3 linked regions of the Arabidopsis thaliana genome follow. The protein of the gene in region 2 interacts with the protein of the main gene of each other region in a pairwise test. Each region holds a gene or a part of one and is shown on either strand. Other genes may lie near its edges.

Region 1 (3,519 bases), 2.5 Mb from region 2:
GTATTTAATATCGAGATATATAGTTACACCCTTATTGTAGAAGCAACGTACATCACATATTATTTGTGAAATGCATAAACTTACAAGAACTTATTCAATCAAGTTTTTGAATTGATCTCTTAGCTAAAGTCGGGGATAAGACCAGGATTAATTCAAGTTTCTCCCCTACATCGTGATAAAAAAGGCATTAAATATCAGATATATTAGAGAACTTTAGTTAGAAAAAGAAAAACCAGATTCTCTGTCACGAATGATACTTCTGAGTCGCCTGAGCATTAGAAAACTAATTATGACAAGATATCCATAAATCGTTCAAAAAAGATATATAGTTAAATATTTAATCAGAAACTAAATCAAAATAATGCATGTACAAACTACTTAACATGACATGGAGTAATAGAAGTATAAAACGAATGGAATAAATTAAAACTCAGTTCAACGCATATCTCTTCATCATTCCAATACTCCAAAACCCTAAAGCATATGGAAATAGTAAGAACAAATTTGCCTTCTACGAAATATGTAAAAAAATATTGGCTTCTTATCTTCTGTTGAGGAATGGTTTTTTTTTTTTTTTTTAAATGTGTAGACGCTTTTAATAATTTGAAAGTTTTGAGCATTTGAAACAAACTACTGATAATGTTCGTTAATTGTAAATTTTCTCCATCAAACGGAAATTTGAATTCAAAGAGCCTTGTTACTTTTCAAGAAAATCATTACTAAACCAAGTAATGATAAAGACAGAATATATAAAAAGCAATAGTAATCAATACATATATGGGTTCTATGGGATTTCTGAGATGAAATTTAATATAAGTATATACAAATCATATAATGCAGGGTTCATTGTATATATTTCGATCTAACCAATCAAATTAAGTAAACATATACTTGTAAACTTACGCTCTGAAATCAAGGAACCAAAGCATGAAATCGAATGAATTTAATTGTGATACACAATTCAAGCCAAATTGAATTCAGAATTTAACAACAACATGTAAATTAAGATTTAAAGAACCTGTGTATGAATAGATATTAATGTGAAAGCCTCGAGTGGGTCATGAAAATGAAATGTCACGGTGGATGGTGCCCTAGCCGAAGTTCAAGATCAAGCTCATCCACTGATGTTCCTGTCGCTTCTTTCATCGAGCCAATGCTCTCATCATCTCCTGTCGAATATTCAATAAGCCGAGGAGGAACTTCTACTGGAGAATTCAACATTGAAAACGGAAGGTTGCTCGGAGGAAACGAAGTCGTACCATAAAGATTCACCATGTCACCAGAATTACCAAAAATGCCACTAGGGTTTTGCAGTTGGTAGAAATGGGACAAACCTTCAATGTTACTCGCCGTGGATTGTATTATAAGTGTCGTTGTAGGCAACGGCGGAGCACAAGAATTGAGTAACATCCCCCCGTGGCCGCTTCTAGCCGCAGCCGCAACGGTGGAACCTTGATGAGCCCTAGATGAGGCGCGGTCACGGCGGTGGACATTCATGTGACCGCCTAAGGCTTGAGCAGAACGGAACTCACGGCGGCAGAAATTGCAAGTGTAAGATCTTGGAGGCCAAGTGGTACCAGAGATGTTGCCTTTAGTGTCTTGCTCAAAGGCTTTGACTTCCCAAGATTCATCATCATCCTCCAATTCTTCAATTTTGTTAGGGTTCCACATCCATGCACCACCGTTCATTCAAGGATGAGTTTTTTTTGAAAAAAAAAGAGAAATCTCAGTAGAAGATGAAGAATAAGAAGAAGATGGGGTTGGTGGATAATGATGTAAATTCAATAATAAATATAAAGATGGACCCGAAATATATACATAGATAGGTCACTTATCTTCAAAATATCATTTTCAGTAAATGAAAGAAATTTTACCATAATAAATTTTACTGAGTGTAAGAGCACACACATTTTGATTATCACATGTATAATTCAAAATTTGCAAATATAATATACTTTCTTTCTATTAAATCCAGTGCAAACATATTTTAGTAACTTATATATGTTAGAAAAGTAAAAATGAAATCTCATTTTCTATTAATTACTTACATATATTTAGCTACTTTCAGAAATTTACATAAACTTTACGTCTTTATAGAACTCTACACTTTTAGGTGTGTTCTTCTATCTTCGTTGGTACTTTGTTACAAAAAGACATTAAATCATAGATTGCTATGCATTTAATTAATATAGGAAGCCCAATTATAAATAAAAAAATAGTGTGCATTTTATATAAATAGGTGAAGATTTACAGAGGAAAAAGTTGGTTGTGACTTTGATGTCCTATGTAAGGTTAAGACAAAGTTTGTTTGCTTTAAATGGTGAAGCAAAGATCTTAGCTTTGCGTGATCATTACTAAGATTCTCTTGTTAGAATCTGACAAATGACTAGAGTAGCTTTACACTGTGACATTATGACCATATATTTTAGATAATCATCCTACATATGGCTACAATTCGAGATATACATACATTACAAAACTATATATATGTATATAGACACACATGTATGGTGTATGAACTCATATTATATATATTATTTTCTATGTAGAAAAAGATATTATTTTTTTTTCTTATGCCAAATGAAAATTTTATTACAATTTGAAATCTAGGAATATTAAACAATACAAATTTTGGGAAAAAAATGAAAAACAGAAGAGCTGAAAGTGATGGGCCTTGATATCCGAAAGATATTTGCCATGTAAAGTTACATTAACAGTGGTTTCGTTGGGAACTTAGTTAGATTTCAACTAGATCGCTCTTTCGTTGGACCATGTGGATTGCATTTGTTTTGTCATGTTTTTCAAATAAATAAAAACATAAAAAGGGACTTAATTTTCCTTGGAAAATAGTCAAATTACAGTACAATGATAAATCTCAGCCCAAATAAAGGTCATTATGGATCCTTGCGTTTGCTTTCAATGGGCCGTTGGACAAGTACGTAATTTAGGCCTTTTAACGCTCTTTTTATTTTATTTTTGTTTAAAATGCGAAAAAAACTTCATCATGATCAGTGATAAAATATGTTTGTTTATAGGAACACTATATGATTTTAATCCAAAATTAATTGACAATGAGTGTACAAATTTAAGTGCTAATTAAAATTGGGTTAAAAGTTTCAATAATTCCAGTCATTTTAATATCATAAGTTAATTATAAGCATATATAATTTTTCGAGTTTATCCATCACAAACATTAGACGAACGATGTTGAAAAAAGCTTAACCCGATAATATGCATCTCCGAGTTAAACATATATACCAATGTTGGTACTTGTATATCTCATTGGGTCAAAACGTTTGTATGTATATAACTATATTATTGTATTGAAGTTGAGAATAAAGGAAAGATAGATTAAGGGAGAAGCAAACAATGACGTTTTGCCAGCGAAGCTTTTTGGGAGCAAAGAGAATCCTTTTGCAGCTATCAAACGACCGCTTCTCCCGGACGACGACCTTTGGCCGCCCATCACATCTTTCTCTATATTTATCTATTTAACAGATACTTGATGAAAAGAAAAAA
Region 2 (3,757 bases):
CCCTGGAGTCCGTCTTGGAAGTCTTTGATTCCGTGAAGGAGCTCAACTTTGGATACGTGGTCTAGATTATTCAGAAGATCAAGTGCTTCACCTTCTTGTTTCTCCAGTTTCTCTGTTCTTTTTTCCTTCGCCTTCTTCTCGTATTCAACAATTGTGTCCTCTGCATCAAGTAGATAGCTTACCTTTCTCTGCTTATACATCTCAAGGCACTTTTCGCATCTGCATAGGATGTTCCTCCAGTTTTTGGTCAAAAACAAAGGTTTCTTCTCAAACTCAGGACACGAGTTTAGATCAGTCCTAATAACACAACCAGCTGCAGGAACATTTTCAGAGCCATCGATCTTCTCAGAACATTTCCGCACAACGAATTTCTCGGCTTCAGTACTGTTCTCAGGCTGGCCGGCTTCAGATTCATCGATCTTCTCAGAACATTTTTGCACAACAGATTTCTCGGCTTCAGTGCCGTTCTCAGGCTGGCCAGGTTCTGAGTCACTGATCGTCTCAGAACATTTTCCTACAACAGATTTCTCAGCATCAGTACCGTTCTCTGGCTGGCCGGGTTCAGAATCCATGTGGTTTTTGTCTAACTCAATTGTCTCTGAACAAGCATTAGCAGAACCAGTGGAATCTACTTTAGCAACAACCCACAAGTTCTCAGGATAAAGTGTCAGAAACGAACATGCTGGGGAGCAGTTTTGACAAATGAAATCTTCATAGATCGGCTCACTTTCCTCATCCCTTGGAATCTGTTAACATCACATAACAAATTGCACTAAGCGCCAACAACAAAAAAAATCAATCGTAAACAACAAGATTAAGCACTGGCCACAAACCTGGCTACCAACACTGTCTGAAGGTGTGAGACCGAGATGCTCCTCATGAAACCAATCCTCACAGAGACAACACTGAATCATCTCTACTTGTTCTTCCACATTTGGGTCAGGGTAAGGTCGGTCGCAAGTGCAGTACAAGCCTTTGAAATTATGGTTGTAAGAATTTTCAGAGTTTTCTATATCTTTGCTCGGGAGAAGCTTACAAGCCAAAGTTCCAAACTTTGAGTTCCCGCAATCACATCGAAAATTTCTCTTAGTCCACAGCTCCAAAAGCTTCATAACCAGAACAATGTTCAACCATTAGGAAACCAATTAACACTATGAAATCAGATTTCAAAATACATAACCTGGCTATATATCAACCATATTTACCTCATGGCCATCATGACAAGATAAGCAACAAGCAGTGCAAATTCCAGCATTCCCCTCTGGTGTACATGTAATGCATGAGAAAATTGCTTGCCTTTTCATGTAACCCTTTGGGAAAGTACACTCATCTCCTTCATCTCCACCCAACACCAAATCCGCTGCCTTAACATCAAGAATCACAAAAGCAGTTAATGAATATTAAACCCCTAAACCCAAATAACATAGGATTACAGAAACAGATACACACTACTGAAATTAATAGAAACTAATTAAGAGACACACACTATCATTACTAGCTAGCCAAAACCTCAGAGACTGTACAATAACAATCCAACACACTCCACTAGCTTCAGAAAAGGTAGTCAATTTAAGGTCAGAATCCAATTTCAAGACGTTTGTTTACACTTAAATCTAAACGATTTATCACCAACCAAGGAGTGAAAATGTGGAAGAGTATTAAACTTTCGTAAGGATCAGAAACATACATAAGCTTTAAAACTGATCAAGAGGAGAAAGAGAACATTACCAGCTCTTCTGCGTCAAGCCTTTCGATATATTCATTGATCGTTATAGTTCCTTCAGCTTCATCCTCGAAAACACCAGATGCCATTGTCGCAATTATTCTTCACAAATTCCCACCTGAATTCACTACTAAAAACATGAAATTGGGTAAAATAAAAGCTATTCGAAAGACTCAAACGAGATATTCCCTAAATTCCTTAAAAAAAATGAAACCCTAGATTATTCGCAAAACATCAAACATGTCAATCGGACCATTACCAGGTTATTGATGGAGTTCTCAGACTTGTAAAAGCCCTAAAGCTTTTCACTTTTCAAGACATAGATAAACGAAGGCAGAGAGAGAGAGAAATTGGGGAAAACGAAGGTGGAGCTTAAGGGTTTGGAAGAAAGAAGGATCTAGCGGATGTTAAAATTCTTAAATGCGAGAAAATTTATGTATGTTATATAAAGGAAGGGACTTTATCGACATTTTCCCGCCATTAACCCTCCAATTCTATTACCCTTTTCCCTCCACTATCAGCAACTAAGCATAAGCACAAGATAAGTATTGTTACTTGATAATGTACATGTTAATATTAATTTGTATCGAGATTAAACGGATATCAAAATCTCAAATTCTTGCTTATATGGTTTTTTATGAATTGAAAATTTATATTTATTTTTTTGTTTTGATAACTAATGTTTAACAAATATCATATCTGTGTGCAACTAGTCAAATCTATCCACAAACACACATACTAATAGAGTAATAAGCATATTTTTAATTATCGTAGATTAATTGATAACCTCTAAAAAAAAAATTAAATTGGGGGATAAAATATTGATAAAATCTAAAGTTATTTAAATCAAAATCACACACTTTTTGTTTTGTTTCTTGACATCTTAATTATAAAATCTAAATATTGGCTAATATAAATTTCAATTTGGATAATATGACTTTATTGGGCCTAATATGATGATACGTATACGGCCCAATAAGAGGTTGAATATGACTTTGACTTTTTCAGGTTTATGGTCAGTGAGTAGCAACCAATCGCAGTCGTAGTTGAAAGTCTCTATTAACTTCTTCTCCGATCTGAGAAAACGCGTCAGAAGTTTCTCGTTCTACAGATAGAGAGAGAAGAGAACGAGAACGAAGTAGAGAGAGAGAGAGAGAGATCATGTCGCAGCAGAAGAAATACATCTTCCAAGTTGAAGAAGGCAAAGAAGGTAGCGATGGAAGACCATCAGTTGGTCCAGTGTACCGGAGTATCTTTGCCAAGGACGGATTTCCCGACCCGATCGAAGGAATGGATAGTTGTTGGGATGTTTTCCGGTGAGATTTCTCGTTTAACCGATCGGAGTTTGTGTTGCATGAGCCTCGTTTCCGATTCTTGCTGAGATTTTGATCCTTGATCTGTTGACTGATCATGGAATTTGTTCTGACTTGCGTTTTTTGCTCTTTATGGATTCTCAAGTAGTAAGAATCGTATAGTTTAATTTCGTCTAGTGTTTATCTGGATTTGATTCATGTTTGTTTAAGTTTTTCGGATCGCAAGATCTACCTAAGTTGCTCTAATCGATAGAAATATAATTTGTTGGTTAATGATTTTGCCATTTGTCTATAATAACATCGTTTTGAGTGGCATGTGATTAATTAACAGTTGCATGAATTTGGTTGACATTTTTTGTTTTGCTTTGTGTGTGGTTTGGTGATATTTTGTGGTTGTTGACTTACATTTTTCTACTGTTATTGTTTATTGCAGCATGTCTGTTGAGAAGTATCCAAACAATCCAATGCTGGGACGCCGCGAGATTGTAGATGGAAAGGTGTTGTTACTGTTTGTTATTGATTTTGATTTTGTGATTTTCGTTTCATGTTATTATAAAATTCACTTGTTATTTTGATTGTTCTTAGCCGGGTAAGTATGTCTGGCAAACATACCAAGAAGTCTACGACATTGTCATGAAACTTGGAAATTCTCTCAGAAGTGTTGGAGTTAAGGACGTAAGATCCATCTTTTTCCTTTCAGATATCTATATTCAGTCTCATT
Region 3 (3,757 bases), on a different chromosome or scaffold from region 2:
GCTTGCAGTACAGGATTCCTTCAAGAGCTGCGTAGTTGGAAGGTGAAATTGGGCAACCTCCATGTGAGCACTTGAAGCAGGACTTGTGATATGTCTGGCTCTCGACTGTTACCTGCATATTTCAGAATCGAAAAAGACGGATATTTGTGACCAAATAGCTTTTAAAAATCCCATAAAGAGTTTTCATATTAAGTCTCCTTTATAGGTTTAACATGCAAATTAAAGTAACAAGAACCGATATCTCCAGGGTCTATGCATCTGTGCAAAACATTTGGTTTCCTTGCAAGTTCTCGGTAACTGAGGGGATTATGTATCTATCCTCAACATGAAATAGAAAACACAGGAGAATTCTTGCAAATGATGGAACTGTGTTTTAGAGTAATACTCCAACATAGACCTTAGAGTGCAGAAAGGTGATTCCAAAGCTTCAGTTAATGGAAAATGCATGAGTGAAGGAAGAGCAATGAAAGATTAAACGAGTTATAACCTTTTCAATAGGATACACAGTTTTACTACAAGTGGCGCATTTCTCTTGTGTACCAGAGAACCTGCCAGCAACTCGGCTAGGCGTCCTTGTCTGAAAACAAACCAAGAAGGAAATATAAGAGAAAAGTTCAATCAGAAAATGTATCCAAAGAGCATCTGACCAAACCAGAAAAGAAACATTTACCAGCTCAGGAGTTGATTTGTCAGCCGATTTTGCAGCTGTGAGGAAACAAAGTTGCAAGACTGATTAAATCAATAACCAAAAGAAGGGCAAGCGGAAAAAAAACATGAATCGAAGCAGAAACAAAACTACATACGTGACTGAAAGTTCTTGTTGAAACTACCACTCTCCTTAAAGAGCTGCTCAAAATGAGGCTTACAGTACAAAACACCTTCCATTGATGAGTAACTACTCAGCTGTAAAAAGACATTTACTTTATCAAGAGCTGCTTATGGTTACAATAGACATTCAATTCATCATTTAAGCAAGAAGATGGGTAATTCGTAAACTCATTCCTCTAATTAAAGCAGCATCGTTAACATGAATACAAAGATGAGAGAATCAGACCTGAAGCCTGCTTTTGCAGTGAGTGCATTTGAAGCAAGACTTGTGATATCCAACTCCATCAGCAGAGAGAAGCTCAACAGCATAAACAGTCTTCTCACAAGCCTTGCATTTCTGTTGAGTTCCTGTAAAAGACATCCTCAAAGCCTTGCCTTCACTTTTCTCACCTTCTTCTTCTTTTTCTCACCCTAAATTTCAAAAAACCCAGAAAAAATGGTATAAGAGGAAACCCCTTTGGAAAAATCTTTCCTTTTTCTAAATATTCGAATAACAAAATCGATCCATTGCTAATTGAAACAAGATTGTATCTATACGAAGCCGATCTAGATAGAATGAGATCGTAAACCTTGAGAAAGTTTATCACAAAGTACGGATCTAATACCTCTCCTTGAGCTAAACCCTGTCACGATCTGATCCTCAAAAGAAACTGCAAAAATACACGAATACAGATTAACCAGAGAAAGATTTGAGAGATGTAAGGATGCAAAAGTCAACTTCTTTGTAGAGAGAAGAGCTGTTACGTATATCTCTCCCCAATTAACGAAAAAGGAGGATCTATGTGACGATGATGAGGACGAAGTAGAAGAAGAAGATGATACAGCAAAGGAATAAGAATATCGGAGATTTTGGGTAAAATCCTTTTCTTTTTTTTAATCTTTGAGAAGACAGTGGGTGGGGTTCCACTTTGGCTTGTCCTCTGTATATTTTTTTTATTAGAATTTAATACAAATGTAACTGAAGATTATTATTGGTTACAGAAAATATTTGTCTTCTTATCTTTACCAAATAAAGAGTTTAGATTATCTGTTCATATAACTTTATGCTCCTGGAATGGAATGTGTTCCAGTTTTCTAATCAGATTTGTGTTATATTAGTAACTACCAAATAAACTTTGGCCATACTCATTAAGAAACACCAAAGCATAGAACAAATTAGAAGTCATAATAAATATTACATACATTGCACTTGATCAAACTACTCTAATATTGTAGGCCAATTCTTTGATTGTCCCAGCTTATTTATATATTTTATGCTTAGTATTTGATATATCTAGGACATATCAGAAGGCTTCTTAACGGCTCGGAGCTGAACAGAGTTGTCAAAACAGTGGAAGAAGCCAAAGTGAGGGAACTTCTCATACCAAGTTTCTTGTGGTACATGTGTGTCCCAGTGTTCACCGCTGCTGCTTTTTCCGTATTTGTGAACCCATCCTGATCCGTTGTGACCTTCTCCCCAGCTTCGGTTCCATCTGTCGCCGTGCTTCCCTTCCCACCAAGTCTCACCTTGTTTCACTCCTTGAGCGCTCGGGTTAAAGTTCTCGTCCCATTTGTCTCCCCATTTGTCCCAACCGTCACCTACCCACCGTTCCGCCCACTTGTCTGTGTACTTTGTGCTTCCGCCTTGCCCGTCATACTTCTCTCCCCACCTGGTCAAAACCAATCAAGACATATTTAGAAACACTCTACATTCCCTGTTATTTGGTCACAGCTTGTCTAGTGTCAGTTCTGTTTTGATAACAGTTCAACAAAGCTCGCAGACTAAGCTTCTAAATGTTAATAGAGCACCTTAAAGAGTATGAAAAGGCAATGTTTTGCTACTGAACTGATTTGATGTTCAACAATATAAGGTGTAAAAGTTAAAGGACAAACATTCTAACTTGTGTTAAAGAGATTGATTGATATTTTAAGGACTGAAAGTTAAAGGATAAAGATTCGATTATGTTATTAGTGTTTCGTTATGTGAAAAGAGGATTTTGAGAATACCTCTCGTGCCAGACATGAGCGTGGCCAGCGTCAAGAGGCGTGTTGCGGTCAATGCTGCACCACTTATGAGCCCATTTTTCTGATTTTCCGGTAGCATCGTAATGCTCCCACCATTTCTCTTGCCATTCATCACCTTGTCCACTCTTTCCCCATTTGTCTGCAGTTTTCTCCATATGCACAACACCATTCTCCTGTAATAGACAATTCAAATTAAGTCTCAAATAGTCTATAGTGCGTTAGATTTACTACGGCAACTACTTTACACTAACCTGGCTCATTGACTCTCTCCAGAACTCACGCCACACGTTTCCAGTGGCATCACGTCCTGATTTCTCAGAACCAAGTTCCTTGAACCCAAAATCATCAGAAGCCTCCCAATACTTATCTTGCCACTCAACAACACCATCAGCAGTAACCCCACGTATCATTGTCCACCTGCAAACCACACCATCAGGTCTTTTCTCCACACCCGTTTGCTTCCACCACTTCAATCCATCTTCGCTAACTCCATGCGTTGAAGATTCATCCAAACTATCAAGAACACGAGCTACTTCTTCCGCGTTTGCTGAAGATATGAGATCAAGGTCATGTTCTGTCGATAAAGTCTCGGAGCTAGGCTTCGTCTCAGCCTCTTTTCGAACCTCAATCAAAGACTCAAAAGGCGGGATAGTAAAGCTATGTCTTTCAGAAGAAAGCATACTCTCATATGGTATCGAAAGAGAATCCGCTGATTTATCTTTCTCCAATACAGGATTTGGCAAAGTTGGAAACTCAGCAGGCTTTTCCACAGCCTGCAAGTCCACAGAACTAATTTCACTACCTTGAGGAGGTGTCCATGACCAAAAATCTGGTCCTGGTGTCTCAGTCCCTGAAGTTTCTGACCGTGGCACATACACTGTTCTGCTCCACATTCCTAATAAAATTTCCAATAACATAGCCAAGT

The links.
Region 1: the proteins of AT4G23860 (region 2) and AT4G17810 interact in a two-hybrid assay, tested with the Arabidopsis thaliana proteins (one large-scale study listed by BioGRID).
Region 3: the proteins of AT4G23860 (region 2) and WLIM2b interact in a two-hybrid assay, tested with the Arabidopsis thaliana proteins (one large-scale study listed by BioGRID).

What each region holds. Positions count from the first base shown.
Region 1 is NC_003075.7:9,905,088-9,908,606, reverse strand, and holds AT4G17810 (C2H2 and C2HC zinc fingers superfamily protein), read right to left. Parts: upstream 1,787-3,519; 5' UTR 1,690-1,786; coding exon 1,075-1,689; 3' UTR 580-1,074; downstream 1-579.
Region 2 is NC_003075.7:12,407,391-12,411,147, reverse strand, and holds the start of AT4G23860 (PHD finger protein-like protein), read right to left. Parts: upstream 2,142-3,757; 5' UTR 1,983-2,141; intron 1,854-1,982; exon of another isoform or gene 1,851-1,853; 5' UTR 1,813-1,850; coding exon 1,729-1,812; intron 1,615-1,728; exon of another isoform or gene 1,365-1,614; coding exon 1,206-1,364; intron 1,107-1,205; coding exon 834-1,106; intron 747-833; coding exon 1-746. Other genes in the region: LACS4 (AMP-dependent synthetase and ligase family protein), read left to right, coding at 2,885-3,039, 3,470-3,533, 3,622-3,711.
Region 3 is NC_003074.8:20,701,231-20,704,987, reverse strand, and holds the start of WLIM2b (GATA type zinc finger transcription factor family protein), read right to left. Parts: upstream 1,767-3,757; 5' UTR 1,573-1,766; exon of another isoform or gene 1,479-1,572; 5' UTR 1,434-1,478; exon of another isoform or gene 1,398-1,433; intron 1,240-1,397; 5' UTR 1,190-1,239; coding exon 1,055-1,189; intron 904-1,054; coding exon 804-903; intron 706-803; coding exon 671-705; intron 578-670; coding exon 488-577; coding exon of another isoform or gene 428-487; exon of another isoform or gene 315-427; coding exon 213-314; exon of another isoform or gene 113-212; coding exon 1-112. Other genes in the region: AT3G55760 (uncharacterized protein), read right to left, coding at 2,102-2,477, 2,815-3,005, 3,084-3,727. UniProt on the Arabidopsis thaliana protein: Binds to actin filaments and promotes cross-linking into thick bundles. Has an actin-stabilizing activity. The actin regulatory activities are not regulated by pH and [Ca(2+)].